Linked DNA regions of Lepisosteus oculatus. The protein of the gene in region 3 binds, or shares a complex with, the protein of the main gene of each other region. Links are inferred from orthologs where the notes say so. Each region holds a gene or a part of one and is shown on either strand. Other genes may lie near its edges.

What was found.
Region 1: smarca2 (region 3) and smarce1 share a complex: the UniProt entries of both Homo sapiens proteins name them as parts of the BAF complex. The link is inferred for Lepisosteus oculatus from reciprocal best matches to the Homo sapiens genes SMARCA2 and SMARCE1.
Region 2: smarca2 (region 3) and smarcb1b share a complex: the UniProt entries of both Homo sapiens proteins name them as parts of the BAF complex. The link is inferred for Lepisosteus oculatus from reciprocal best matches to the Homo sapiens genes SMARCA2 and SMARCB1.
Region 4: smarca2 (region 3) and smarcd3b share a complex: the UniProt entries of both Homo sapiens proteins name them as parts of the BAF complex. The link is inferred for Lepisosteus oculatus from reciprocal best matches to the Homo sapiens genes SMARCA2 and SMARCD3.

The regions. Positions count from the first base shown.
Region 1 is NC_090723.1:9,906,739-9,914,823, forward strand, and holds the start of smarce1 (SWI/SNF-related matrix-associated actin-dependent regulator of chromatin subfamily E member 1), read right to left. Parts: upstream 3,115-8,085; 5' UTR 3,025-3,114; intron 2,157-3,024; 5' UTR 2,112-2,156; coding exon 2,105-2,111; intron 738-2,104; coding exon 694-737; intron 102-693; coding exon 1-101. UniProt on the Homo sapiens protein: Involved in transcriptional activation and repression of select genes by chromatin remodeling (alteration of DNA-nucleosome topology).
Region 2 is NC_090717.1:9,611,197-9,618,764, reverse strand, and holds the start of smarcb1b (SWI/SNF-related matrix-associated actin-dependent regulator of chromatin subfamily B member 1b), read left to right. Parts: upstream 1-4,402; 5' UTR 4,403-4,433; coding exon 4,434-4,517; intron 4,518-5,529; coding exon 5,530-5,641; intron 5,642-5,840; coding exon 5,841-5,970; intron 5,971-6,735; coding exon 6,736-6,873; intron 6,874-7,568.
Region 3 is NC_090698.1:22,301,290-22,309,262, forward strand, and holds the start of smarca2 (probable global transcription activator SNF2L2), read right to left. Parts: upstream 3,175-7,973; 5' UTR 3,061-3,174; intron 2,794-3,060; exon of another isoform or gene 2,708-2,793; intron 1-2,707. UniProt on the Homo sapiens protein: ATPase involved in transcriptional activation and repression of select genes by chromatin remodeling (alteration of DNA-nucleosome topology).
Region 4 is NC_090701.1:29,339,706-29,347,578, forward strand, and holds the start of smarcd3b (SWI/SNF-related matrix-associated actin-dependent regulator of chromatin subfamily D member 3b), read right to left. Parts: upstream 3,112-7,873; 5' UTR 2,877-3,111; coding exon 2,799-2,876; intron 1-2,798. UniProt on the Homo sapiens protein: Involved in transcriptional activation and repression of select genes by chromatin remodeling (alteration of DNA-nucleosome topology).

The DNA.
Region 1 (8,085 bases), on a different chromosome or scaffold from region 3:
ACCCGGCTGTTGCTGCCTGGGTTCCCTCCCAGCCTGTAGTTGTTGTAGGCCAGATGGCTGTATGGGTTGTATCCCACAAACCCTGGGGTGTTGGGCATTTGCTGATGGAAACAAATGAGACAAAAACACGAATGAGAAATGACAGAAACAAAGAGGGGAGGAAAAAAGAATGAAAAGGAGAAAAACGAACCAAAAAACAAAAAGAATATGGTCTGCATACGGAGTCATGCAAAAGCAACTAACCATTTTTTTTTTCAAAGCAGCAATGGTAGTGATCTACATTGGCATTATTGACACTCCTTGCGTCAGGACGACCTTCGCTTACAACCAAACAGGAAACATACCCACAGCTAAGGCATTACTTTAGAGTTACAGTCACACATAACTGGTGTCTGCTGAGGACTAATGGCATTTGAAAGCTGAACGCTTCACCCACAGTACAGTAACTGCAGGGGACAGTTCACTGGCCCTGCAGCACCAGCACATGAAGTGTGGAAAATTCAAGCCCTGCAGGGACCTCCTCCTGTTAGTGGTTTATGGAGGAACGAGGGAGAAGACTGCATCTCTTTGAGATGTTCGAACACATTTCTTACGGACTCAAAGGCCGGATCCCAGCCTGTTATAAGGTTCAGAGGCCCTTGCACAGTGAAGGAGCCGCCTCGTCTGTCTCTGTGCTGCATCTGCAATACTTACTGTGGTGGGGGCTGGGGCAGGGGGAGGGGCATAGGATGGCCTTTCTGCATGAAAGAAAAGGGGAAAGAAATTAATGACACACGGAGCTGCACGGAGCCATTACTGCACTGCTCACAACGCACCTGTGGGGATGGGGCAAACCGGGGCACACCCCAGGGCGATTTGGCTCCCCCCCACACTGCGGCTGGCTGCAGAGTTGCTTGAATTAGCACCGATCACCCTGCAGAGCTACAAGCAGCCCACCGAAACTCTCCGAAGAGGCACCATGCCCGTTGAACTGGGGAGCAGTTATCAGTACTACGATGCAAAGGACTAGGTCCAGATCTCAATAAATGGAAAAACTGTCTGATTTTGAAGCCGGATCAGCTAAACCAAGCAGTCCTATATATATTCTCTGGCTGGGATCCCCGCCAGGCACTTCTGTCCTTCCAGGCCTATCAGTATTCATTCAAGCAGCTGCTTTCTCCTAGAAATCACCTTTATCCCTTCCCATGTGTTTCAGAAATTAGCACATGCAACCCTAACAAAAATACCTCATTTACTACCCCCTACTCACACCTTAAAAACAAGATATATTCCCCAAAGAGCTGACCTGCATAACACACAAAACACACAGGGAAAAGTCTTCATAGGATTATCTATGAAATTCTTCACCCATTTAGTGGAAAGATTAATTCCTGAAGAAAACTATCAAGGTCACTATTTAGCTTTTTTAATGCAAAGCAACCTTCAGAAAAAGTTTTAAAAAAACCTTCAAGTGGAATCAGTCTCTGGTCAGCCCAATGCCAAGTAAATGTCTGTTTATTGCTGAGAACACACTTGAGCTTTAACACTCCTTTCTGCTCACTGAAATCAGCCTCACCTAAAACTTTTTAAATTAACGCACAGCCCATTTAAACTAAAGGTTAAGCATGAAGACAGGATTAGATTCTCAATGTCAGTATCTTTTATAAACCGGTTACACCCCTCTTGAACTCTTCCTGGTCTCTTTTTGTCCGCAAAACAACGGACGACAAAGGACAGAACAAAATTAATTAAAGGGGATTTTAAAATTAAAAATCTGTTTTTTACAAACAAGCTCTAAGAGACCCATGGTGTTTTTGTAAACGCGGGACTACTCTGTGAATGCTGAACTTGGAACACGGCAAAAATAATTTATGTGGATTTTATTTCTACCATTTTGTGTTCTGGCAAACAGCACATCGTCCTGCTTAGACAGAAAAAGCAAAACGTTTTCCTGCGGGCCAAGAGTAATGCCTGCTCAGTGAAAATGCTGAGTTTCTGAACTGGACTGGAGCTCTGGACAAGCCTGGAAAGGCCAGCAGGGAGGGGAGACTGGAGGCGACAGGGAGACCTGTACTCTTCTGATACTACAATCAAACCACATGAACTGAAATTTAATTTTCCTTACTTGACATCTTGGATGATGGATGGAGGATATCAGGCTATTCCGGTCATTGGTTCTGTAATAAATAAATCTTTTTAGAACAAAAAAAGGAAAAGAAAATAATACAGCATGTTGAACTGTTTGGTATGGATACGGAGATATTGAGCTACTCATGATAACCAATCCTGCCAGTCTGATTAGAGACGCCAATGATGCCAAGTCACGGTTCTGTGCAGTGGCAGCTGTTTCGTTGCAAAGTACTACAACATTTCAAAGCCTCAAAGCAGCCCAGATACATATACAATAAATAAAGGCGCTTTTCTCTCACTAGCAAAGAAAATATGATAAAGCAGACTTTACAACACAAACACGAGAGAGACATGCAGTTCTGTCAGTAACACCTGAATAATTATTATTATTACACCAGAGAACGACACGTTCATCACAGCACTGTACAACACACTGTGCCGATCTTACTCTGAACAGCTCATTCCTTGCAAAGAGGATATCACCGCTCAAGAGACTTGTGCTTGTATACATCTGCTCACTGACCCGTCTCGTTGTCTGTACACACAAGGCCTCACAATAACAAAGAAAACCTCGAGTTCTACCGGCACACTAATCTTCCTGACCCCTACAAACAATATCTTGGATGAACGCCGGCTCTAAAGGGCTCTGGATACTAACAAGTAAACAAAAATCAAACTAAAAGCAAATTAAACAACAGGCCATAAGATGACAGATGTTCTGCAGCAACACCAAATGAATGGCGGCAGACATTCCGGCGGCTCAGGGATGGAGATAAACCAATACGCCAAACTATGTCGATGGTCACGCACAGCAGCACAACGCCTGGGATGTGGTTACTTTTGGGTCACTTGCTGGCCAGTTTTCACTTGGACATTTTGTAGAAAACGGTGAAAATGAACCTAAAACACACTCACCCCCACACAGCCTTTGTTCGCTCGCACCACTTCCTCTGCCTCCCCCACGCTAACCTTCGATTAAACTCGGGAGATTCGCTGTTTCAAACCGGCCCGGAGAGATAGGTAGGAGATCTACGAGGGGCGAGAGAGGCGAATTAAATAAAAAAAATCTTAATTAAAAGACTAAGAAAAATAATTTGTATTTTATATTTCATTATATATATATGTTTTTGACAATACTAACTGAGCTTTGATTTAACGTTCTTTTGTTTTTCGAAAGTGCCGCTCTTGACTCTCAGATAGAATTTGCGTGAAGTCCATGTTATGGATTGTGTGAGAAATACACTGGAGAATTTTTGTTTTTTTAAATCGATAATGAAGAATTTTTCAAATGCTTTTTCAAATGCTTAGCTAATAATACTTAAAAATAAGAACGGGCTCTACTGCAGGGTTTCTCATTCTAAAGGGTCGCAGGGCGCTGTACACTTGGAAGGGGTCTCACGTCATCCCGCACTGTCCTGCCTCACCTGGGTGACACTGCAGGTCCGGGGACAAGGGAGATTGGAAAAATAAAAAATTGAAGCTTCACGTAGGCCACGGCGTGCTGGATTTCAGAGGGGACTGAGTGTGTCAACACTACAACATTTAAATCATTTTCTGTCTTTGCCTTTAGAAATCAGTTGTTAAAATGTGATCTTAAAAATTGTCCTGTCTTCATTCCTATTTTGATTTCTTTAAACATGAAAGGATGTATATATAGAGAGAAATTCAGTTGAGTCCTAATGTTTATTATTATAATTCAGGTGCTGTTGTTTTTTCCTTTCATTTGCTAAGCCCTACCCAGTGAAAGCCACCGTCACTGTCAGTATATACGATAAATATATCAAACTCCTGAAGGGAATTAGGGGCCATCATGAACAATAATGTCCTTTGGATGAGACGTAAAACCGAGCTCCCAACTTTCTGTGGTCATTAAAAATCCCAGGGCATTTCTTAAAAAGAGTAGGGTGTTACCTCAGTGTCCTGGCCAAATTTCCCATTGGCCCTTACCAATCATGGCCTCCTAATAATCTCCATCTCTGAACTGGCTTCAGCACTCTGCTCTCCTCCCCACTGAGAGCTGGTGTGTGGTTAGAGTACTGGTGCATCATCCAGGTGGGGCTGCACACTGGGGGTGGTGGAGGGGATCCCCATTACCTGTAAAGCGCTTTGAGTGGAGTGTCCAGAAAAGCGCTATATAAGTAAGCAATTATTATTATGAATAATAATGTCTCTTGTCCCTCAAAAGAACCTTTACATTAGATAAGAGGGTCAGAGGAAAGACCTGAAACAAGTTTTTTTTAATTAACTGTATTACAACACTGTATACAGTTCTTTTAAGCAATTAAATTCTAACATGCTTCAAAATTAAAAATTTAAACTGTGATTGGCCATTATCGATCCTTTGTTTGGCTAGTGGTCATTAAGGCTGGATTCGCACACCAGAGTCTCCAAGCCTGCCAGATGTTACCACGTGCTGTAGTCTGTTCACTGCCTCCTGTTTGAGGATCTCCCCTGATGAGTCATCGCTGAAGCCTGTTCCGGCTCTGACGCTGATTGTCCGCTTATCCGTGGGAGCACTAAGGAACAGGTTTTTCCCATTTTTCTTCCCTTTTCTTTCCAGAAAGGACAGGTTGTCCCAGACTGAAATCTCGCTTCAGAGAGACTGTGCACCTGCAGCTCAATGGGAGTGCCAAGATCCTGAATGGTGGCCTGGGTTGTACCGGTGCTGATCAATAAGAACATTGCACCCCCGCGCCACACACTGCACAATCACACTGAGTTTCAGTGAACATTTGACTGGATTTGCCCTTAACCACCTGCCCACATCCCCACGCTGCCTGCCTCCCTACAGTCCTGAACAGCAGTGTAATTACTGGTTATGTCCATTCCTCCAGCTTAGAAGTTCATCAGGCCAGAACTCTTCCCACTTTCAGCAGCACTAAGCTGATGAAGAGCATATGCCATCAACGGTCATGACATCATTATTGAGCATTACATCATCATTGGTCATTACATGATTATTGATCGTTGCATCACCATTGGTTGTTACACCATTATTTACATTACATTACACGTTACATCATTACACAGCCTTGTGGTCTGCAGGCACAGGTACAAGGAGCCGTGCAGAAGGGCCCAAGAGGAACGTCTGCACCAGGGGCTCAGCCCCACTGCCTTCCAGTTACAAATCCAATGCCGTAACCCATTGTTCTGTGCCACAACCCTTAACACTGTTCATTCAAGTCTGGAACAAAGAAGACTATAAGGGAACCTGATACGAGCTTTCAAAATACACAGAGGCCTTCCACCCTGTGGGCCTGCCTGGAAACAGCAGTGAAACACAAACCTAAGGAGCTGAACTGCAGTGAAGTGCTTGTGGGGGAGACTGGAACAGGCTACTCAGCCATGCTGTCAAAACCCAGACGCTGGCTTGTCTCTAGAGGCTGAACAACGTATATTACTGAACAACGTATATCCCTCTAAGGAACTTCTAAAAAAAAGGTTTCACTTTGACTGTAACACCTGTACTGTACATTTGGTGAATTCCATCTTGAAACAACTAATCACATTTTTTTTCTCGTGTCAGCATTCAGCAGCTTTCTGGTACTCTGTGTGTTCTTGGTTAAATAATAGTAATATTTGTGTAAATCTAACTTTTAAGGACATTGTTCTTAGTGTTTTGGATTCAAACAAAGAAGTTTGTATAGTGTTAAATGACATTCTCATGTTGGCAAAATTGTACATACATACGCGTGGACTAAAAAAAACTCTTATGGGATTTAAAGAATTTTCTAATTCTTTTAAGCTATACTCAGGTTCCTTATTCCATATCAAAAATATGCTCAATTAATTGGTTTACAGAAATCTTTCAGCATATAAACATAGTATTTAATGTGACCCCTAACACCACACAACCTCATACTGTTGATAAGGGTCTAACTCATTTGTTTGTATATTAAGAACAATTGAAAAACCAAACCAAAAAAACAAGCCAGCCTCTCGTCTGTGGGCTGCACTGTCCACACAATGCTGGACAGTCCTGAGCTCCGCCTGATTGCTCCGCCTGAGCTCATGCCAGCTGCAGCAGAGAGCATGTGTGACCCCCAGTGGGGAGCACCCAGTGTCCCCAGGGGAGAGGGAACAGGGCTGCTCGCTCAATCGGGTGTCTGTTTACAGACGGCTGTGCTCTGATCACACCCTCGATACTGGCTGCATGCTGATGTCTAGGCTACATTGTTTGGCACTGCTCAGTGGAAATAATTGCCACAGGTACAGTCTTGGGTTTCTCCTACACATTGTTTTTAATCATTTTTCCCTCTGGAGCCATGCCAGCGAACCTTCTCTGTGGTTTCGGTATTGCCTACAACGCACACAGGCACACACACGCACACAGACACACACACAGGACTTGAGCAAGGCCACCGAGGGACACAAAAAGCACAAAACATAGAATTAACCACCACATGCGACAGCATTCTCTCTCTGCAGCAACATGAGATTAGATCAGATCACTTTATTGGCCGTATACAATTTATTGCATTAGGAATTTATCTTTTCGCAGACCCCAGCTTGCTCTCCATGAGACACACAGATGGGGAGAGAGAAGTTTGGGGTCAGAGTGCAGGGTCAGCCGTCTATACAGCACCCCTGGAGCAGCTGGGGTTAAGGGCCTTGCTCAGGGGCCCAACAGAGTAGGATTCCCCTGCCAACTACAGGATTTGAACCTACAACCCTCCAGCCACAGGCGCAGTTCCTTAGCCACAGGGTCACCACTCCCTGCCTAAGGTAGATAAAGAATAAATGTTAAATGTAGAGCCTTATAATCCCTTAAACAGATCCACACTACCAGTTCTCAAACTACAGTTCAGGCTGTATTGACTGTGTGCCCTTACTGTGGACTGTCCTTGCCTTTGATAAGACCTGGGCTGTCCCTGGAGAGCTGGTGCACCTGTACGTCTTCAACCTAGCTGAGAGGGGGCGCCAGAGGGCCACTGATCTCTGGAGTGAGGTGCAGGCTTCAGTAATCCTCACTAAGGTAACTGCAGTTTACTCTATGAGCTATACTTTTGAGCTGCTGGTTCAACTACTTTGTTGAAAACACTTTGTTCCACACAGGGCGTCACACTCCCACTGCTCCTCGGAGTGATTTATCTTCTTAATTGCGTGAAATTAGTTTCTAGAAATTGTCTATCTTAGAGCCGATTTAACAAAACCTGCAGGTGTTGGCCCAAGTTGGGTAAGAGGCAATAAATTAAGAAGCCGTGTGTCCTCAGGAAATATCATCGACAGCTCACAGGAAAGTTAAATCCGCATCTTTAATTTGAAGTTTTTTATTGCAGCTTGTTACCCAGCTCCAGTGTTCGTCACAGATGTTGGTTGCCTTGGTAACTGCGAGGAACAAGAGCAGAGGCGCTGGAGGACTAGGACGGCCCACTCCCCGAAAATTGCAATGAGTTATTAAAGAAATTAAGTTTGTTGGCCTTGGCAGCCGACTCCCATATTAACAAAGCTCTCATTATTAAACAGCCTTTTATTTTTTTCTGACTTCATAACATAACTTTATTAGCCCTGTACAATTACTTGCATCAGGAATTCATCTTTTCGCACACCCCAGCTTGCTCTCCATGAGACACAGACACAGAGAGACAAGCCTGGGGTCAGCTTGGGGTCACCTCAGGGTCAGCCGTTGTACAGCACCTGTGGAGCAGTTGCTCAGGGGCGCAACAGAATAGGATTCCTCTGCCAGCTACAGGATTTGAACCAGCAACCCTCTGGCCACAGGCTCAGATCCTGAGCCACAGAGCCACTGATCTGTCTCTGACTTCCTATATAGTGGAATCCTGAGGCCCAGGGAAAAGAGATTTGGACAGTGGGGTGCAGTCTGCCTTATTTCCCCCCACACCCCATTTCAGCTGAGCACCGACTGGGAGAGGAGAGTCTGAGAGCAAGGGGGACACCTGTGCCTGAGTGGGGAGGGGTGTCGACGCACACACACACACACACAAACACGCACACACACACACACACACACACACA
Region 2 (7,568 bases), on a different chromosome or scaffold from region 3:
TCACAGCAGCAACCCCCAATCTCAGTGCTGAATAGACCCAACCCTTCTGAAACCTAATGGTAACAGTCTAGAAGTTGCTAAGCCTTCTGTGAACGAGCATTGCATAACTGTCTCAAAACTGGGGTTTGGGTTCAGTTCCGGACTTGGGGAGCAATCTGCCTCAGTTTGTATGTTTGCTGGTTCATGTTTCCTCCTAGAGCCCAAAGACATACTGGTTGGCTAACTGGCTTCTGGGAAAATTGGCCCTGGTGTGAGTGTGAGTGTGTCTGTTTGTGTCTGTGTGTGGCCCTGCGATGGACTGGTGTCTTGTCCAGTGTATACCCTGCCTTGCGCGCCCTGTTTGTCGAACTAGGCTCCAGCTTTCCCGCTCAACCGTGAACTGGATAGAAAATGGCGAGATGGTTCAGAATATAAATGCCTGGAAAAAAATAGGGATTGTTGGAAAACTGTTCAATCGGTTTATGACAATATTTCAGCAGTTACTCTCCACTGCCCTCTGGCATTTGAGATAACAGCTACATTGATGTACCTAAGGTTCATAAACACAGAAGGCACAATCTTGTAGAAACATTCCAAAGAGTCTTTGTACTCTGTGGAATCCTTCTGTGATATAATTACAGAAATAGAGACCTTTCCTCTGGAGTAATTAAAGTTTTGGTTACTGAGAAAAGTGCATGGAACATCTTTAATTGTACTTTAATGTATACAAAGTTGAAAGCCAGCTTTAGAAAATGCTTTCTGTCTGCACTTAAAAAGACAGTACTTTATCATGAGCTAAACAGTTTCTTTATTCTCTGCCATTTCCTTCCAAACAAATCTGCACTTGTTAAAAACATAATTGACTACATTATATGTTATAAAATGTAAATATGAAAAAACATATTTCGAAGTAGGACTAGTTTACTGTAAGATCAAGCATTTGTTGATGTCCCCCACCATAAAAATCAAACAACAACAAACATGTTACATTTCCAGCCCCATTTTGAGACTATAGTAAAACACAGTCTTACAAAATGTAGAGAGACTGTTAATAAAAGCCAGAATGAGGGTTGCATCTTTTAATGAGACTCCTGCTGGAAAGAATTTACCAGCAAAGAGATTTAAAGTCAAAGATATTATTGTCTAGTCATCAGGCTCCCTGAGAAATGCTATCTCTCCCTTTTTGAGCAAACAAGGTTTATATCATAAACATGACAGTGTATGCTCTCTTGTAATTTGCGTAGGCCTTTTTGAACCTATTTTTGTCTGAAACGGTCAGGGCCCAGAGCTTTAGGCCTTCCTTGTTTCTAATCAGTTCCAGTACTTTGAAAGTTCTGCCGTCTATTTTGTTCCCTTTATATGTGTTTTGCAAGCAGTTCATTTTTCATTTCCAAATTTCCATCAAATGGGAGATTGTATCAGCATTTGTCTGGAATCAGATTGTATGCGTTTGAACACCCGTGCTCTGAAATGTATGAGTGTAATTAACTTCTGAAAGCAATTATTTCATTTTTGCTAATATTGAATGCTCTGGACATAACAGGAAGAATGCAAGCAACCTACTCCTTGTCTGTTTGTTCTGTTGTCTATATCAAGGTCAATTTCAAATTATGGACAGAATCCCTTTCTTCTTTCCACAGTTTTGTACTATTATCGTTGACCTCCAGCAGCATCACTACCTTCTGAACCACAAACAACTAGGAGACCTAGTTTATTTTTAAAACGATTGACTTTGGCCCAAAGCCACAGTTCTTAGTCTTAAAGCGATTTTAAACAAAGCAAAACAGAAGCATAAAAAACTCAGATAAAATAAGCATTTCCAGATGCTCCCTCATTAATCCTGGGGATAAGTGACATAAACCATGTCTTTAATCTTTCATATATCCGTTGTGGTGTGGCTCTTTTTTATATATTAGGTATACAATAATTGTAAACTCTTATTGGTTAAGCCATTTCATCTAAAGCCATTCATACCTGAAGGTTCAGTTAAAAAGAACACTATAAAATGTAAATTTACACCAGCTGGCAGTTATTACTGCTCTATTGTAGCTATTTCTGAGTTAGTCATTAACAGAAATCCTTTGATTATTGATTAATCTTTTGCAGTATCTGTAATTACATATATTGAGGATATCCCTTTTGCAAGCCAGCACAACACTTTTTCCACCTAAGGGTACTGTAAATTGTGTCACATCCTATAAACGAATATCTTTACTTACATCTAGATGTGTCTTTCTGTCTAAGTGGATACCTCTACACCCTTACTGCTAGAGTCAACAAAATAATTTACAGAGTAATGGAAATATGGCTAAAATCTATTTTCTCAGTCAAAGAACTGCAGAGTTTATATAAAAATAGCAAAGTATCCAAAATAACTGACCCCATTACTCATGAGTCTCTGAGAACCAGAACTATAAGCATAGCATATGAGCAACAATATAAGAAGGTTCATTTCCCTCTTTCCAGACACTCATGTTGCAGAGGTCCAAGGCTACCTATATATTATTCTCCAAGCATACAAAACATGAATGCACAGTAATGGAGATCAAAGATCTTTTCGTAGCTTAAAACAGCCGTATAGATGCTGTTTCATTTTGTACTGACTCTGGTTGAGATAATTAATGTGTCTGCCCCCAGACTGTTCCTTATCTTGTTTCCTCTGTGAAAATGTAAGACAAGGCTCACAGCAAGCAGAAGGGACAGAGTTCCTCTGCAGGACGATGTTATGCTCCGTCAGAAATGGAATTGATGGTTCCACGGTTTCGAGAAACTGTGAGACAAGTCCTGCCAAGAGTGAAGACCAAGTTGACACTGAGCAAAAAAAGTGTCTTTGGACACAGCAGTTCTTTATTTTTCTTTCATACGAAATTCCTGTTTTTGTTGGCCTGCCAATATCCTCACTTTTCCAAAGAAATTATTTATATCCAAATCCTATATTAATTTTGTGCTTCCCCTGACAAAAAGTGGATTGCTAACATTAATTAAGGAGTCTGTTCACTGCAGCTGTAAGACATGGGGCATAACTTACACTGGCCTGTGCTTTTGGAGCCTTGTCTCATTTTCCAGTTCACGCAGTGCAGAAAAATTACAGAATGATGAAAGAAACCTGGAGTGCTCCAAAGTACAAGACAAGTGCTCTGATGTATCATTTCTGATCTCAGAGGAAAGCAAATACCTGTGGAAAACTAAAGGAAATGAAAGTCGCTAAATTGTCAAGATTTACTGATCACTTGCTGAATTGAAAGGAAATATAGCTCATACTGTACCTTTTTCATGAGCTTCATCACCATTTTTCTTCTTTATTCTCCCCAAAATAGCAGGGGTATGACTGAATGAGGACGCTGGTGTATCAGTTTTATAAGGGAAACTACAAATTTCATTTTAATACCCATAAATGTGAAAATGTCCTACTGAACATTTGTAAGACTACAAAACTATATTCTGTATTAAAAGTGCTATCTTTGGTGTCTTATGCTTTATGTATGTAGCTTTAGACATTTGACATTGTTAGTAAAAAAAAACCCTCTTTTAATTTCAATCCCTCGTGTTCTCAACTGTCTATAAAAAAGTATAATTACACAAATTACTGCGGAGCATTACAATAAAATTGAAATTGAACTCAATAATCCAAATTATTGTCATCCTTTCAGTCTAAACTGCTTTTAATGCTCAAAACCGCAGCTATCCTTAGAGCAAAAAGAGCCAGGAACTCTGTGCCTTTAACAAATCTACATTTAGCTCATTTAAGGAATTAACAGATGTTGGCTTGTACAACTGGGGCAATGGAAGTTTTCTTAGTTTGACTAGGATACAAGGTGGTGGTTTTCAATGGTTTATCAGGGTCGGAGAGGTAAAAAGGACCGAGTTTCCCATTGCAGTTTCCTGCCACAGTCCAATAACATACTAGTAGGTTAATTGGTTTCTAGGAAAACTGCCCCTAGTGTGTCTAATGCTGTCTGGTTCTGCCCAGGACTGGTGTCCTGTCCAGGGTGTATCCTGTCTTGCGCCTATTGCTTGCTGGGACAGGTTCCGGCTCTCCTGTTACCTTGAATTCAATGAAGTTGTTAGAAAATGTATTAGTATTAGCAAGTAGGGCAGTGGGAAATGCAGGATGTACTTGCACCCAAATTATAAAGCTGTTGCCCACATCACAAGCTGTTTTACTATGCATTGTTTCCAGACGCATGGAGTGTTTGAATACAAAGCAAACAGTTTGTGTTTGGCATGAACATTGTTTTCATTAAGAAGAAATTTTCAGAAAGCCCACGGTATTTAGATGTCAGAGGTCTACGCGAGGCTGAGCCTTCAATGCACTGCGCTAACGATTCGCTCCTGTTGGTGGCGCTACAGCAAGAACAGGAGACACCCGTTTCCACTGACTTTTTAACAACGCATGCGCGGATCGCTTGCTGTAATAGTCGCATGCGCATTGTGGTGCTTTTGTTACAGCCAAGATGGCGTTAAGTAAAACGTTTGGGCAGAAGCCGGTGAAATTTCAACTTGAAGAAGATGGGGAATTTTACATGATTGGTTCAGAGGTATGTATTTTATTAACGGGGTGTTCTTGAATCGGGTTCTGTAATCCTTTTGCTTCTAGCGTTTTTTAGAGCTGTGATATTAGTGTTTAAAGTCAACCTGGGGTACGGTTTCATTGTGTTTTGCTGTCTGGGCTTACTGAATGAACTGGCTTAGTTGGGTAAGCGCTATTTCTATTTCTCTTCAATTCAGAAAATTGAACTAAAACGATCTTGTTTTTAAAATAACTCACACTATTATGGTAGCATTTGATTAGTGTTGTGAGCAAATGTTCCTAAATTAATTAGAAAGGGCGTATTGGTTCTCGTAAAGTCAACAAGAAACACCATACGGTCACCTAGATGCTGAAGATAATGATAGAATCCACTTTATCTGGCAATGTCTTCGTAAACATTTTTCTCCAGCACGTTTTTCATTACCAGTATCTCGGATGTCACATATGTCAAACTGACAAATGCAGATTTACACGAATTTGAATGTCTTATTAATATAGTCATTTATTGGAAATGGGTTTTCTTGTTTGAGTAGAATTTACAAAGATTATAAACTAGATGAGGTCATTCGGTTAACCTGGCGTTTTCGAATGGTAATCGATCCGCGATGATCATTTTTTCAGTTTTAAATGCCTGGGTAACCATATAGTTTCTGCTTAAATTGTTTGGGCTGATTTTGTCAAAGTACAGTTACTTAGATACTTAAAGTAATCTTTTCTGTTAAAGACAAAATAGTGAAGTTCTTGAACTTGTCAGTGTAAGACATTCCTTAATTCTGAAAATATAGTATGTGGTTGTATGACATGTTATTGGTTGGCTTATATATTTAATTGGCAACGAAATAGAGGTGTTAGTAACTAGAGGTGTTTGTAAGTATTTATTCATAATTTCCAGTTAATCATAGAAAGTCATGTTCAATGTTAACATCTAACCCGCTGAGAAAAAATCAAATTATTGTATTTCCTCAGGTTCATCTACTTTAAGGGACACTGCTATTTGACTCTTTGGTTTCGTTTCCTAGGTAGGAAACTACTTGCGGATGTTCAGAGGCTCACTGTACAAGAGGTACCCTTCACTGTGGCGGAGGCTGGCTTCTGTTGAGGAGAGGAAGAAAATTGTAGCATCATCACACGGTGAGTGTCAAGTCTTTATCACTTTCAAGTACTCCTGTTGCCCAATAGCAGCATTATTATCAGCGATGATAATTTACCAATAAGTTCAAGAAGTGTGAGTCGCAATCACTTTAATGATCAGAAACATTCTCCCCAGAGCTAGTAAATCCGAAAGTTCTACTTTTGGACAGCAGTATCTTCAGTGTTTTCTTTGTGTTAGATCACGGTTACACAACTTTAGCCACCAGTGTGACTCTGCTGAAAGCATCTGAAGTTGAGGAGATCTTGGAAGGAAACGATGAGAAGTACAAGGCAGTCTCCATCAGCACTGAGCCACCTGCCTACCTCAGGTAATGTTACAAAGCACAACTTGGTAATTACTGCGATTCAGTGGTGAATCCAAAAATGTCATGCAGGTTTATGAATTAGATCAACAGAAAATCAGTCTGGAGCATCCATACCAGTGCAGCACAAATCATTTCAAATTAAGCATGTCCCATCTTGTATCATTTATCATCTTGCGATTCCATGAAGAATGCATGAAACCTCCTTAGTCTGGATCAATTAAAGTGTGCAGTGCTAAATGAGATTTCATATATATGCAAATGATGTAATGTTTTGGAATTTTTAACATCATGTTGTTATTTAATGTTATTTTTTATTACCAGAACTTGAGTTGCTTAACCAGTAAAAGTGCTTTCTTGGAGCGCAGGTTAAGCAGCGGTTACTAAGATTTCATAGGTGGCAGAGCTGCCGTGCTGCCAGGGGCCTTTCGATGCAGCGGTGACGTCTGTGATTTGTTTTTGCGGTGACATTGGTGAGAACGGCGCCACTCATCGGTGCAGTGCTAGATCTCACCAGGCACTGGGCACTTGAACGTGTTGGGAGGGTCATATCCGTCACGAGCTCCTGAGCCGGAGCAGGAACCATTGTCAGAGAATCAAGCCTTAAAACTAATGGGGGGGTTACAGATTCAGCGGGTGCACAATAAAAAAGGGCAATTGCCCTTTTCATAATGACCAAATGACACTCAGTATGTCCAGGTAAAATATATTTTATATCGTTGTAATCCTCCGCGAAAGCTCTAGGTTCTTTTTCTCACATGTTCTGCCCAGGGAGCAGAAGGCGAAGCGGAACAGCCAGTGGGTGCCCACGCTCCCCAACAGCTCCCACCACCTGGACGCTGTGCCCTGCTCCACCACCATCAACCGCAATCGCATGGGCCGGGACAAGAAGAGGACCTTCCCGCTTTGGTGAGTCCGGAGAATCGGCTGGAGCTCGGCGGCTTTAAGACCACTGCGTGCAACAGCCACCCAACTCCCTACCCCGACCCCCCGCCTTCATCATGATAGATCGCCACCCTTCATAGTTCATACTGTATTATCTCAGTCCCAAGCCTCTCCATTTCATAAGACTGAATCACCATCCCTTACCAGTTCACACTGTACCTGTTATCAGAGGACGTTAACACTCATGTTCACCACAGAGTCCTGGCATATGATTCATTCATTTTACACCCATTACAGGTTCATTATTTCAACCCATAATGCCTTAAATACAATAACAAATAAATCAGTTCTCAGTTTCCTGCATGTTCTATGACTCAGTGTTTTAAAATAGTAGTACTATTATTACTAGTATTACTATTAGTAATAAAGAATAACAAACCTAAATCATTTTGCTGGAATTTCAGTGCTTATTTACAGTCCCGTTTAACAGGAGAGGAGATATTTCTTCAGGTTGTGCTTGAACACATGCTTTTTACAAAAAAAATTTCACTAAAGATGTACTGGAACTCTGATGTATGGCAATGTAAGTGTAGTAACTGAACAAATCAAATGTCACAAAAAACATAACATAATATTAGTATAAAAATAAAACAATTCCGGGTTGAAATTGGTTTTTTGTTAGTATCTCCTCTTTGAAACTTCTAATGTTGAATTGAGCT
Region 3 (7,973 bases):
GGCTCATGTGCCTGTTAGCAGCTAATTAATCCAAGGATGTCATTCTGCCAGTTCTTCACATAAGTCAGGGTATCTGGCTCAACAATATGGCTGGGTAGCTTGTTCCAGGTTCTCACAACTGTGGCTTTCCAACACCTACTGATGCGCCATATGTCCGCTGTATATATACTCTTCAAATGAAAATCAGAAAACATTTTTTTTGTTTTATCATGAGCTTCATAGGTGCTCCTACATCTTTACAGTGGCTATTCAGTAATATTACAATTGGGGGGTGTACAAATACAAACTGAAGCAACTGTATATAAAAGCACAAAAGTTAAATGGTCTAAGTATAAAAAATAATAAAGAAGAAATGATTATCAATGGCCCTCTCACGACATTTTGCGACTAGATGTAAAATTCATATGTAACTAGTATAACTACAACACAAAAATTAACACAGTTATGTACATCAAGCAGCCGAGAAATATTGTCACAACTTACTTTTTAATGCGTTAAAAAAACTTAACAGCGTCTGCGTACAAGTTTGTTTGTTTTTTGCAGTATCTTAACATGCTTACAGCACAGCATTAACAGCATGAAAACTGACAGGAAATGTGACCACAATGAACACAAAATCAAAAGTCATCCAAATTCAAAAAGACTGGAATTTGGTTGGATTTATCCAGCCATATACCAGTCTCTGAATATAGTAGAGAGAAACCCTAACATGTATGAAACATTGCATGCTGTTATTTAGAAAAATAATAATGCAATTACTTATCAATATTAGAATAAAAACTGTTATGACACATAAAATGCACACTACTCTGTTATATGACCATCTATATAATTTAAAACAAATGCAACTGGAAACCGGTTTCATTCTACACCAGTGACATCCAGTACAGGTCATCAGAAGTATCGGCAGGTCTGCATTCTGACTGACAATTAAACCAGCTGATTACTGGCTTAACTGGACCAATTCAACAGTTTCTCCTGCTCCTCAGGGGATGCTGCTGCTTTAAAAAAACCTTGAAAACCTGCAGACACACTAACCCTCCAGCCACTGGGCCCCTGCTCTATAGCAAATGGTTCTGAGTCCCGGTCCTGAAGTATCCCTTTCTCTGTAGGCTTCTGTTCCCTCTTAGACCTTACTGACTTGTTAGAGGTGCCTGTAACTAATCTGCTTTCTGCTCTCGACTTTATTTCTGCACTCAGGCTGTCTTTTCAAAAACACCCTAATTAATGTGCATTAATCATGCGGAAATGCCTTCCACATACAGAACTTCATGTAGCCTCTCCTCAACTTGCCTGTTAAGCAATTACTCTCTTTATTTCTGACTAAACAGCCCTTAATGTTATGGTATCACACAATTCCCACAGTATATGTTTTCCCTTCTGTTTAAATCCAATGGCTTATATTTCAGATAACGGACCTGAAAGAGGACAGTGCTAAAACTCACTAATTAGGACAGGGCTCGTGCTAATTACAAATCTCGGCTATTTAAGAGCTGAAAGCCAATTAAAAAAAAAACCTCAAACAGAAAAATGAAATTAAATAACCTGTCATTATTAACCTAGCTAAAGCAAAACCAGATAACACAGGGGTTACTCAAGATGAAGCCTGAAAACAACTGTACTAGGTTTTGTTCTTAAACTAAGGCCTGACTTCAGAAAAAAAGCCTAAGTCTTCAAGCAGAGCAATTCTGATAGCAATTAGCACTGGTAATTACCAGCACAGCTGGAACTGGAGTCAGCAAACACACAGGTTTTCCAGTACCAAGACTGATAACGAGGGTTTTACAGATGGCAATTTTAATTCTTATCTTTGAACGCCCTGGAAAAATTTTCATTAATCCGGTTTTGTTTTTGATAGCAGGAGGGGGATCGTCAGGTTTACACCAAAGCCATCACCCAGAGGTCATAAGCCACCCGTGTACCACAGAGATGGGAAGCGTGCTCTGATTTACATGACAATAAGCTATTCATGTGGACAACTGAGTGTCACGCCTCTTCTCCAACCCAGCAAGCTTGATAGCGAAATAGTGCCCTTTTAGGCGTGCAGCTGAACATGTCAATCCAAGCGTAAACAGGTAAAGGAAACATTTAAACAATAACACGTTGATCGTGAAATACATTGTAAATAGGACTAAGGGTGATACAAAAACTTGGCAGCTGTCCAACTGTTTGCATTGATCCTACGGCACAAACGCCGAATAAGTCACGTTAACTCTCAATATACATTAGTTTTTCCATATACTACGTTTTGTGATTATTTGCCGTTAATAGCTGTTTGTATTTTTCTTTCACTAGATTACAACCCTAACTGTTGTTCTGGCTGCGTTTACGAACTATACTGGAAATCATTAATTTCCAAAAGATACATTTTTTTTATTTTTAAGAAAAGAATAACGTAAAATACGCAGTCCCATTCTTTCATTTCTGTTCGATTGATTGACAGTGGCGGAACATACTCCAGCACGCCGTGATGAAGACGATCAACATGTCTGTTATTTCCACTTCCTGACTGAGCTAAGTACATTAAAAAATACACTTTGTTCGCAGGCCTCGACTTTTCATTTCTGACAAACTTCGCTTATAAACTTGACCACGGTCCCGTCAAAAGCAACGCGATGATCCTGCTTCGACGATCGCCATTACAAGACTATTTAAAAGACAAATAAGTGTTTCACACACTTACAGTACTGCCTTTTTTTCTAAATACCTGTTATTTTGGAAAAGCCGCTGAGCGGATCATGGCTTCCCATGACTGTACTGGCTGAGTTAGACTTCCGCAGCGCTTCTGCTAACTACCTCCTCTAAATAAAAGAAAAGTTCGTACGCTTAGGGTCACTACCGATTTACTAACATACTGTACGTATTACGGAAAACAAACAACTTTTACATTTCTTTCAGAAGCCGGTCAACATGCTGTCAACTTCGCAGAAAAATCAATAATAAGTTCAGAAAAGCTACTTCTTGTCACCCGTCGCTCTTACGCAAAATAACACATTACTTACACGTACAAAAGACTGTAATAATGGACAACCAAGTACAAAAAAGATCAAGTCAATTTACCTTAAGGAAGTAGAAACAAACTACGAATCAAAATAAATTCAGGTTTAGAAAGGTATGTCCACATTGACTACCATTAAAATTTCCCCTCCCCCTCTCGTTTGCTGACAACCTTGGGTTGAGATTTTCCAATTAGGGGTTTTCTGATTGGTTATTACGACAGGAAGTACCGCTTACCTCGGCGACGGATTGGTGCAATCGACCATCAATAATGTCTTTTAGCAGTTGGGCGAGTGAAGCCCTTTTCCACAGCAGTGCAGATTACAGAAAATACTGGAACATGTATTTATTGAGCGTCGAAAAGGGAGGGAGGAGGAATGTACAGTATTCAATAGTTTTGAAGTACTAAGAAATGTGTAGTTGAGTTATTGACAGATTTTACTGAGAAAGTGGTAGCGTAAACGCAATATGAAAGAGTCATTTACCTAGCGCTTTAAAATGTATAACTGAATGAGATTATTATACAATCACTGAAAAAAATGAATTGGTTCATTTTATATAAATAATTTTGTAATATTAATTCATATATTATAATATTAATTAGAAATAGCGTTGCAAACCCAATTGTACTCCATGAAACCAGCTAATTCGCCTAAAATTGAATGTACAGCAGTAGTCCATATGATGCGTCTGTCCGGTGTAACTATTGAATATAAAAGGATATTAGATTGTTTGGACAACCGAATAACGATGTATAAACCTGTGAAGGAGATGCCTGTAGCCAGAGACAATCAAGATTAACCAACAGTCCCAGGTAATTTTGGATAAAAATGCTCTAATCCTATGTGAATCACATATTGTAGGCCTTCAAAAAGAATAAGAGGCATGGCCAAAAGCTTTTGCATTGTGAGTCTGTTGCCTGAAACTCAACTTTAAAAACTGAAACGTTGAGTACTTTATGTGTATGTTCCCATATATCTTCTTTATTTTTTTTATGATTAAGATGGAAAGTGTCAAATACTGTAGGTCTGAGATTGGATTGCACTGACATCTACTTTAATTAGTAATAACAGCAATTAAGAACTGTGCAACAGATTCCTGTATGTTTTACATGATGTCAAATTAGAGAAGTTTTTAATTGAAGCTGTAGCAATTCAGTGTTTATCATTTTTAAGAAGCGTATCCTTTACTGTATTTTGAAGATACGAAGCACAGTCTACAACTTTAATTCCAGTGTTATGGGAATATGAATTCACTTAGTGTTATTTTTTCTGATTGTTTTTTTTTTAATTCTTCGGCTTTTTAAGATCAGTGTTTTCGAGTGAAATAAGCATCTCCATGAAACTTTGAGGATCACGCACTTCATGTTATCCTTAATAATAATTTAAGAAGCACCTTCTTTTAGTACATAGGGAACGTTTTTTCCAGAACAGTTCATTTTCTCAAACTTTTATGAGCTCATGAGCCACACTAAACTAGGAGATGTGACTGGGAAGTAATATTGCTTGAGGAAAAAAAAGTGCTTCTGTCTTGTAATAAATTAGAATGGAAGAAATGTGAGTGTTAATTCTTGCTTGAAGAGACTAAGAATAGAGAATGACTAGGGTACAATACATACAATACACCTGTATCACCAAAAATGGATTGTTTCCCGTCCATGTACAGTATGGCCTTCAGCACAATGCCCAGGGAAATAAAATGAGATACTTCGCAATGGCAAAAAGTCTTGCGTGTCAGTGCTGCTTAATAGGGCTTTCAATGCACAAATATCTTCATCTAAAGCCAGGGTACGCAGACGTAAAGGTTATTGGTCCTGCCGTTATCAGAGGATTGGATAAACACCCACACCTCTTTCAGCTTCGTTACATTTTGTGGAAATATCTTCAAGTGCTGTAGATTAATTTCAGCCCCTTCAGTTTCTCGGCCCCACTCGCACATGACCAGCTATCTGTGGACTCAAGCTTTACGACGTCATCCCAGACAGGTTTCTACTACCTAGGGTTCCTGACAAAGCAGACGATACTGTTGATAGCGCTGTTACAGCACTCTAGCAAGTGGTGGAGAAACAGTAAGGTGCAGGTTTCTACCTGTACTACTCGCAATTGTTTTTTGCTTCTCAACTAAATTTTGCTTTAAAGAACAGGGCGCAGATAGCAGAGACACAACACTTCCCTAACTGTGTAGGCTCTCGGGAAATCCACCAGCTACGCCGCTCCATTTACTTGCTTTAACATATGTTGAGGAAAATTTCTTTAACAATTAATCCATTACAGTTACTTATTTGTGTAAGCGATTAGCTTTTTTCTCTTAATAAGTTAAGGAAATGTGCTTTTAAGAGTGAATATATTACTTTATATAGTAACTACACACACGTTGAGTAAACTGATCACTATTAACTTACTGACCTTTTAATATTATTTGCCCCCCTTCCTAAGGTAATCACACAGATTGAACTGTAATGGTCTTTTCAAAAGAAACTTACCCCAAGACCCAATTCTGGCACCGGGGAGTAGTAACTCGTTTTCAGATGAAAAATCCTCTTATCACACTTACCGAAAAATCATTGATTGCCATAAAATTATTTTATTCGTGAAATTAATTGCAAATTAAATTACAATAACTGTGTAAAGGAAAGAAAATTTGATCCAGCAAATTGGGAACCAAAAGAACCAAGAAAGTTAGTTCTTAAACTATACCAGTTAAAGCCACAAGGGGGCAGGAAATGTCCTGTGTTTTGATGTACAGTAGCTCAAACTATTAAAGAGGAAACATTTCTTTGCATAATTCGTGTTCGATAAGAGAATATCACGAAAAATAATTTTGCATGTTTAATTAACAAAGAATATTAGAATATTACACATTCACAATTGCTGTTGGATGCTGACTAGTAAATGAACATTTACTGTTCTTATTTTTCATGTTTATTTTTTGGTCAACAGAGGGAGCTTCTTTAAACGTGAAAGGAAAAACGTTTAGGCTTTGAAGTCGTCTTCGCGTGTGAGGCGAAACATTGTGTTTTCTTTCTTCTCTTTTCAGCATGCAATAAACCTTTACTTGTTCCTTTGCAGCCTACGCATGCTGACACAGCTACAGTACCTACTTGAAATTTTTTAAACTTGAGTCTTTTCTGCAAGTTATATCCTGTAGACTTAGGATAACGTGCTGCAATGATGAGGACCTTATTGGTCACACAAGCACCGAGGTGATCTGATTTGCGTATTTGGATATTTGGAGAGAGAATATAAAAAACAAAACTGAAATTTAAGAAGCAAATTCTTGGCTTCTTCATAGTTATGAATATCTTCATATCTTCTTCATAAGACACGGAGGTCTTCGTATTTGGCTCTTTTCCGTTAACTGGCCTCCTCCATCCTGTCTCCCAAGGAAACTAGCTCGTAGCTCTAGCATGACCACCTGCAATACAATGCTTAGCTATGTTTGGTCACTATGCTCCCTAGGTTGACCTTCAGCTGCCAATCTCCCACCGTTGCCAGGAGACCTGCTGATACTTTGGACAGCGGATGTGGCTGCTAAATGGCTCTGATGCTGATTGCTGTTGACACCCCTGCTAATAGTGTCGGCTAAGGCCTTCTGCACCTGGCCGCGACGACATCGATAGTGTCCTTCTCCAAGGGTTTAGGATGTGCTCCAGCATCCCTTGTCCTTGGCACAATGGGCATATTGTTGAACATTACAGACTAGAAGGACTAAGTTGGACATCGTAAACTGCCTGGATCATGAATTTAATATGATGTGGCTCTGCTTGCTAAAGCTTGGGCCATGAAACCTTGCATGTTGGGAGATGTATGCTCCCATCTCTTCCCTGCTCCCTGCTGACACATTTCCACCATCCTGCCAGTAGTTCCACTTCCAATCAAATGCCGTATCATGAATTTCTTTAACATAACAATCTTCAAAATATTAGAGCAGGACCTGTGCAAATAGTGCTTCACATTCACTATTTACATACTGTACAAATGAAAAATCAACACCAGACAAAGCCCATAAAGGATAATGTTAACAGACATTTCATGAAGACCTGGGATTACTGAGCAAAATAATTTACTATTTATAGTTTTTCATCCAAAATAAATACACTAAGCTTGACAAATTACTGAAAACAAACTTTAGATTTACATACTGTTATTAATAGCACACGACGCCGTGCTTTAGAAAAGCTCTGGTGCATAGGTAAACAAGTAGGTGACATTTGCATTTTCTGATCGCTAAGCATGAACATTATTCTAGCTTCTGTGCTTGCATAAATATGCATACTGTATTTATATACGGTATATTATGTGTGTTATTTTTGACCCATTCCAAATAAAATACCACGGAGGAAATAGGATACATTTTTCTAGTATTTACTTCAAATGTTTCTTATTAAAATACCCCACCACCCCTCCCCACCTTGTCAGCAATCCGAGCTGCTAATATTGTCCAATAAATGTTTCTTACAGTGTACCAGCAATGTATCTTCTACTTTTGTCTATTCAGTTATAATCATCTCTCAAAGCATACTTGTATACCCATTTCATTCTCCCGTCAAGCCAGACTCATCATATCTCAGTGGGGGATAGACTGGTATAACCGGCTGATCGCTTTCAAAACCTGTTCTTCTTCCTGAGTTAAGTAATTAAGGTTTAGTCTGACTTTGTGCGAAGGAGTTTCACCATGTTGAAAAACTAACCTTTTCACCTGCACACTCCTACCTACCCATGGAGGATATTCCATGACATTAACTTGAATTTAATGTGCATAAATTTAAATGAAGGTTTTAGACAGAGTTACAGATCTGTTGATTTACAGATCATTTACTTGCAGAATCTGTGTGTCAATTGTGCTTTGAAGTACTGTATGTGTTTTTACCGTGCTTTTATGATATGTAATTTATTGTATGATAGGCGGTCGTAGTACTCAGTTACTGTTTGTCCACCTTAATTTACCATTCAATTTAAATCTTACCTTTTGGGAAC
Region 4 (7,873 bases), on a different chromosome or scaffold from region 3:
CAAGACATTTAGGATAGTTAGTCTTCATGTGGTTGGCAGAGATGGCAATGATGATGTACAGAACAGAGAAGAGATTTTATTTTGGTTTGGTTTGGTTTTTTGGTTTTTTTAACTTTCGTCTTTTCTTTGATTTGCTTAATTTAACGAAGATAAAAGTTATGAATACAGGGGTCTGGATTCAAAAGTTTCATCTTTGAAGTTCACAAGGTCAACTGAATGTACATGGTGCCACACACAAGATGACCAACTCGTAATATTTGTAACTATGTGGCAGGCTGCCACTATCACACCCACTGGAGGGGCCACAGCTGCATGTTCCACAGTTGCAAAGTGGAAGTTTAAATAGACAAGGTGATTGAAGTTTATTAGTGAGTGATCGGGTGCGCATGGGAATGCAACGATGTCTGCGTGCCTCCGTGCTGTTTGTGACACGCAGTCCCACTATTGACCCTGTCACACTTTAAAATAAACAACTTGTGTGTCAATGTAGACAAAGCAAAATATGGATAGCTCAACTATGAATAGCATGCGTAGGCTGCAAAGGAATAGGTAAAGGTTTATTCTGTGCTGAAAGGAAAAGGAATGCTGTAACCTGAAGAGGGCTCCACAGGCAAAACTTTGTCTATTCTTTTATAGCACAATGAAAAGACAAGAAGCAGCGATGTGATCTGTCTTTCCTTACCATCGAGTCGCACAAGCGTTTTCCAAACATATAGATTCAGTGAAAGGTGAGAAAGAAGAACGGGGCATCAATGCCGTTAGTGGTTCACCTGACTTCACTCATTTTAGTGCACAGGTCCTATTTACTCATGCATACTGGCTGAAAGCATGCCATGGAGAAAGCTGAAGGAAAGGCACTGACCTTCCTTGCCCTTAGTGACGTGTCATTTATGTAACCATTTCTAAACAAGCAATTTAGCTAACCACGCCGAACTAGCAAACTGATCCCCAACCATACTGAAAATAGTTAACATTATATCCCAAAAAAGCTTTTCTCAAACTCAAAACAGGTTTTTCCAGAGAAGCAGCGGGTGACATTGATTAGAAGGCTAATGCCTGAGTTAAACGACCTACATCGGCAAAAAACTAACCTGATCTTTTCAGAGTGACTGGTATTGCCAAGGCTCAGCATCAATGAGATAGAACACAAATTGAGAATGGCACAGAGACGACTAATCATCTCCCGTGTGATTTACATGTGGTGTTTCAGATTACGCATTACAACCTGAAACAGTGGGATGGCAAGATCCTGACAAGGGTCTCCAGGTTTGTCACTTGGATGTCAAAAGCATCCACTTACTTTCTCCTCAATGAAACCAATGTACCTGCCAAAATCTGCTGAACCAGGGCAATGGATATTGGTTTCTGTCAATTTCACATAGGAGAATATAAATAAGAAAATAATTGGAGATTCCAAAATAAAAAAGTAAAAGTTACACACCATGTGTCATACTGACTACTTATTCTTGCAAAAATAGCATCTGAAGAGACTTCTCAAACTACAGTGTCAGGGAATATGCACAGAGGCGGCTGATTAGTGTCACACGAAGCTGAGAACTCTATGAGGTGGTCTATATCTAGGGTAAGCCTAACATGCTGTACCTCCTCTCCTCATTTTCTCTTTCAGGTGTTACCCTGTTTGTAATGAAATATTTATGACAGCACAGAACAATCTAAGAAGAACAAACAAAGAACTGCATCAGAAACCAATAGCAAGTTGTAGACATACACCTCTAATTTCTAATTTGTCTCTAAATTCTTCTAACCAGACAGCCAGACGGTTTGTATTTCATTTGCTTCTATTGCAGCAGAACAGATTTGTTATTCAGGAGACATCTGAGTGTAAGAAACTCAGAGTTTCTCTAAATCTTTTTGGCTCCAGGGATGCCCTGCTCTTCAGGTCCAGCATGGTGGAAACCAACGTTTATTTTTGCAAGACTTTGTTTATCATAATTAATTAAGACAAGCACCAAGGTGGCCCACAAATAAAGTCAATGTGTGCTCAACATTGTTTGCTGGGCTTGCTGGATGAGTGTTTGCACTAAGCAGGTTCCTCTTACTGTAGCAAAAGAGTTTTCATCTTGTACAAAATCTGTCAGGCAATCTGGAACATACTAGGCATGTTTTCTTAGAAGACACGGCTCCTGAATCCTGACACAGTATGCATACAGTAGCACACTACAGCATATTGTATACTGACCTTCTCCCACGCAGTTTATTATTTTTTCTCTTAAAAACAAACAAAAAGACAATATGCCAGACTGCCAGATCTTAAGAGCTGACGTCCATTTGTTCCAGCATTCCACTTGTATTGTTCCTAAACTTTCCTACTCTTTACAAAGCACAAGGCTTTTGTGCCCACTTTTGTTGCTCTGATAAGCCTCTCAAGGCAATAAACCTTCCTCTGCACTTCCCAGACTGAACCATTAAGGGGGCTTGAACTGGTCTCATCTAAACTGGTTAAAAGGTTGAGGGGGGCTCCCCAGTTGTCCAGGTGTGCTGCGTGCAGCAGCAGAACTCAAGTTGTGGAGGCCAGTCGCAGTAGGCACTCCACATGCTCTTCTGGAAGCGACCAAGGAGCAGCGTCTCTTTCTCTTTTTAATGACTACAAAACCCACCTCCCCTGCTTCCCCACAGCTCCCTCCCTCCCCTCTCTTCTTTAAAAAGAAACGGTACGCGACTCAAGGCTGGAAATAACCTTCACACGGCTTTCCCAGCTATCTCACGCATGCAGACTGCCAAGCTTTGCACACACAGAGCAACCCAGCTCTTACCCCAGCCAGCCAGCACCTACTCACCACACCGTGGACGAGGAACTCAAACAGTTTGCTTTTCGTAGCTTTGCGGGCTCCCCCGGCAGTCTCCTCTGTAGCCATTTGGTAGCCCCCTTTTTCTTTTGTTTTCCTCCTTATTCTTGCTCTCTTTCTTTCCCTTCCAACTCAACCCCCCCTACTTCACTTTCTTCCTTTTTATTCCTGCCTTTCAGAACACTCTCTCCCACTCCCTCTCTCTCTCTTTCCCCCTCTCTCCCTCTCTTGTTCTCTGTGTTTTAAGTGTGTAGCCAAGCCAAGTCCCTCTCTCTGGCTCTCACACTTTTTAGTTGAGCAGCATTTCAGAAGCCTGTGGAGGGAGGGCGGGGGTCTGACAGGGGGGTTCCGGCAGGCCCACCCTCAGGGCCCCCCACGCAGCTGTTGCATTCCATTGGTAGATAAGGGCATGCTGTGTGACTGGCTGCTGCACTCTGGTGTTTATGCACTGGCTGGAAAAGTTTGCTTTACAGTTACCCATTCCCCTTGCCAATCACTGATGACAAATGTGCAGAGCTACAGCTTGACCAAAGAGAAAGGTTTCATTCTCAAAAAGGAGAAAGAAGGCTTAAAGGGCCCAGCTTTCATTTTGCATCTCGACTTCTCAAACGCTTTTAAAGCTCTTTCCAAATGTTCAGTTTGTGCGTTTTGAAACACAAAGCAAACCAACTTGAGCAGATTGCTTTAAATCAAACATGGAAGTGAAGCTATTTAAAAAAAATTGAAACAAAGAAACAAAACCTTAAGCATGGGTTTCAGCTGCTAGCAAGGGGTGCGCTTTTAACCAAGAAAACTTCATTTAACCTCATTATCACAGGAAACAAAATGTGGACTCTTATTCCCTGTACGGCCATGTCCAAAGAACTTAACATAGAAAGCCAGGTCTTATAAAGCTCTTATGTCCACATAGACAAATCAATCCTGTACAGTTCTCTACATCTCAGTGTCTTATTTTCTAATTAAATTAGAACAGTTCCACTTGTATGCTGCAGGGAAACCCATCTCTAGTTTTCCAGAAGTGTCAGATCTGCTGGGACCTTACAGGAAAAAGGGGAGCCGAAAGAACCACCTGAAACAGAAACTGTTTGGCAGTTTCTGTACTTCAAATGCTCCCCTGCAGAAAGATTCACACCCATGAACCCGATGTGACATCCGAGTCCAGTCTTCAAGACAGCACTGCATTAAGCCCAGAACCATCTGAACGGGACTGGGATTTTCTCGGCACTAGCTCATGACTGGTCAGACTCCAACTGCTGGATGGTCTTGAGCCAATGAAAAGTCAACAGCTGCCGCCTCTGGGACCTGCCCATGAGTTTGCAGTCCTGACAGTCAACCGGTGCCAACTGTCTCTCGAAGCGTTGTGACTCACTGGCTTGGCACATGGCTTACAAGTGAGCATCAGAGGTGACCATCCGCAGTCCTGTGAGGGTGCAGGGTCCATACTGGCAAGCCAATTGAGTAATCAAATGGTGACTTCAAGCTGAGAGGGCAGTAAACTATAGTAAGAACAATATTTAAGAAAAAAGATTTGAGCATACTGTAGGTACAGCTGAGCACAGGTGAGTGTAAGTGAAAGGGAACATTAAAAACATACTACAAAACCATGACAATCAGAAATATTTACTAAGCAGCATTCCGTATGAGCCAGAGTCCAGTACTAGTGCTTAGTTGTTAAAGTGTGGAAATAACAGCGATGCTGAGCCTTTCAGAAAACCCCAAGGGATGTACAGGGGCAAGCAGGTCAGAACAGGATATACTGTAGCATTAATAACTTCATACCTCGAATACAGTTTCAGCGAAACGAGAAGATTGCAACATAGTTGAACTTCACCAGACACTGCTGAATAACAAATTGTTCTTTATACACAGAAAACTGTTCAGAGGCAATGATTTCTTATGGTTAAGAAATCGGTTATTGCAAATTAAGCAATTTAAGTTTATAATGTATCCCTTAACCATTTCAGGTTACATTAATAGCCTAAGGTTTAAGTATAATGTTCATGAAGCCTGCATTCTCTCACACTTATCCCATATATGAGTTGAAACCTAAAAGACCTAATAGACCTAATAAAGGGCACAACACCAACGTCAAAGATCTTAGGAATCATCGCCAGCACAACAGATATACATAAAATTTGTGGATCTACAGAATTTTTTAATTTACATTGAATGGTTGGTTACAATATACTTTAAAGTTATTAGAGTACATTATGACAGATGCTTTTAAATCCCTGCAACAGCCTGACCACAATTACTTCAGTATATGCTATCTTCACTGGCAGTACCTGTTTTCTAACTCATTGTCTATTTCCAATTCTGGGGGAACAGCTGTCAGGACCCATTAACTGTGGCTCGGACTGATGTCTGAGGGATGTCTTACCACTCATTCTGGGGATAATCTCCCCTTGAATAATTTGACAACTGTATTTCCAAGGCTCTACTCACAGACAGTCACTTCCCTGTTTAAACTGTAGTGTCGGAGCCAGGCTCATTTTTTCCTGCATGGTTTCAGAAAACCTCCTATACACTTCCCGCAGCGTAGAACTCTGATTCAGGTTTCGGTTGAGTGAGCTAAAGCCTTTCAGCAAATCTTAAACAGGTAATCTACCCATACTAAAAATGCTTTGTAAGTAAGAGGTTGTTTGACTCTCCTCCTCCCCAAACCCCCAATCTATGGTTTGTCTATATTTCCCACATTTTCTTCCTCCTTGTTCAGCCCCACGATGCCTGACTTCCTGAATACTTTAACATCTGTGATCCGTCTCCCCTTAAACAGTTGTAGTAAGACATTTTACTAGAAAGGCAGCCTCACAGTTATACTGTACAACTCTTCTGTAGATTATTTTCTAACTATACAGAGCCTTTCACTACAATACATTAAACAGCTTGACATCAGGAAATACATTCCTTATCAATAAATTTAATTCACACCAGTGAAGACAGCAGCCTGTTAAAACCACCACAGTTTTATGGAATAATACATTCCTCTGTGACAGGTACTCACTGTCAGTTGATCCCAAGCTATTTTTTCCCACTCAGTTTGTCTGCTGGCTTTACACAGGACTGGCATGAGAGTCTACTGCTCTTTCTTATTGTCTTTCTCCTTATTCTGCAAATAAGACGTAACTGTACACAGGTTCCCTTTACTTCCATATTACTTCATAAGAGAGGCAAGAAAAACAATTTGCAGATGAGAATTGTAATGGGCTATACCAACTGCAGTATGTTATCAAATACATGTTAATTTAATACAGTGATATATGCACACCAGACACTGAGTATTTCATGGAAAATAATATTGAGCTCCTCGTGACAAAAGAGTAGCACAGTGTGTTGGCTGACAGACTGCTACTCAGGGGTACTATACTGTAACTACATACCGTATGTCTGCCAAATGTCCAATCTGGGAAAAGAAAGTTTTCTGTCATGGGATAATTACAACATGGAACATTTCCAGGAATATCCAATTCAAGAAAAGGTTACTATTTTCACATACACACACCAAGACTGAGCACACAGACATTCACATACTGTATACAAACAAAACACACAAGCACAAATGTACACCCCTACCAGAGACACAAAGATGCACACAGATGTATAGAGATGTACACAGACTAAAAAAGAGCACATGATCACAGTCTGCGTCCCCTGTGGACTGCATGTTGAGCCCACAGCTGGCTGGAATGCCTGTGAACACTTCCTCATCTGAAGTCTCTTTGTTTCACAACAGTTGTTCTCACAATGGTCATGCCCAGGCTCCTCAGGAGTCTCGGGGCTGCGGGTGACCCCGTGTCTTGGGAAAGGAACTCGGTAGTGTCGGTTCACTGATAGTTTTCCACGCAAACACTGAGAAACTCCACTCTAGCTTTGAGACTGACAAATCTCCTCAGTCTGTGTAAAAAGAAAACTTCCCCTTGCCGAGCTGTAAGTCTAAGTGAAGTTAATCATAATTCTGAAGACAGGCCCAAGCGACTGTGTTACTTGATGGTCAGAACATAAGAATCACGTCTGATGTCCTCACATCCAACAAATACTTAAGACTACTTTTAATTGGAGCAGATCAATATTCTTTCAGAATCCCACCACACAAACTAATAAAGTGTATTCATTGCCTGACAAATGAAATAATGCATACACAGCAAGAACCATGCAATCGCCTGAAGATCTCCCAGTGACTTAAAAAAGAGCATCCAGTGAGAATAACCGAAGACCCCTGGTGGGTGGAATTAGGAGGTTGTCACTGCAAGTCACCTTGGGACAGGAGGTTCACGTTCTACAGTACCAAGATCTGGCCTCCAGATGGCAGCGATAGTTTGTACCGTATACATTTTTTGGTTTACAAACTCATAACACAAGACAAACTTCACCATAAGTAAAAAAGAAAAACCAGGTGTCACAACTGGCACAGGAAATTCCACTGGGGACCCAGATTACAAATTAAGTACTTGGAAATGACATAATGTGTAACTATATAAAAGCTTTAGTGTGCAAATTAGATCTTTTCTGCACTTCAGAGAGGAGCTGGAGAAATGCTGGTGTGGGTGTGCGAGAGACAAGATCTCCATAAAGTCTCAGAAAAAGGTGATTTTATTCATCTGTTCTCAGCCTTCCATGGTTTTCAAAAGCCTGAAGAGCATCTTGTGACAAAAGCAGTGCTCTTGTTGTTTAAGCACATGAAGGTCTTCTTTCTAGCAACTCAAGAGTGAACTCTCTCTTCCTGTCGTGTGCGCCACAAAACAAAGCCACAGCTCCTGGTCCTCACTACGACAACAAACAGCAGTCATGTTCTTGTATTGTGCAAAGTGACACTGTGCTGTAGGAGCTCCTGTCCTTTGGATGGCATGTAAAACCCAGGTCCTGACTATCTGGTTGTTAAAAACCGCATGGCACTTTACAAAATAACTGGGGTGTCAGCCCAGATGTCCTGGCTGAATTCCACTCTGAGCCCCAATAATCTAAGGTACAGTAGGTAGGTCCCTTTTCAGGCCATAAAGACCCATGGGGAATGAGGTGCAAGGGCCACCATTTTCCTTGACCATCTGACATTGGAAATGGAGGTGAGG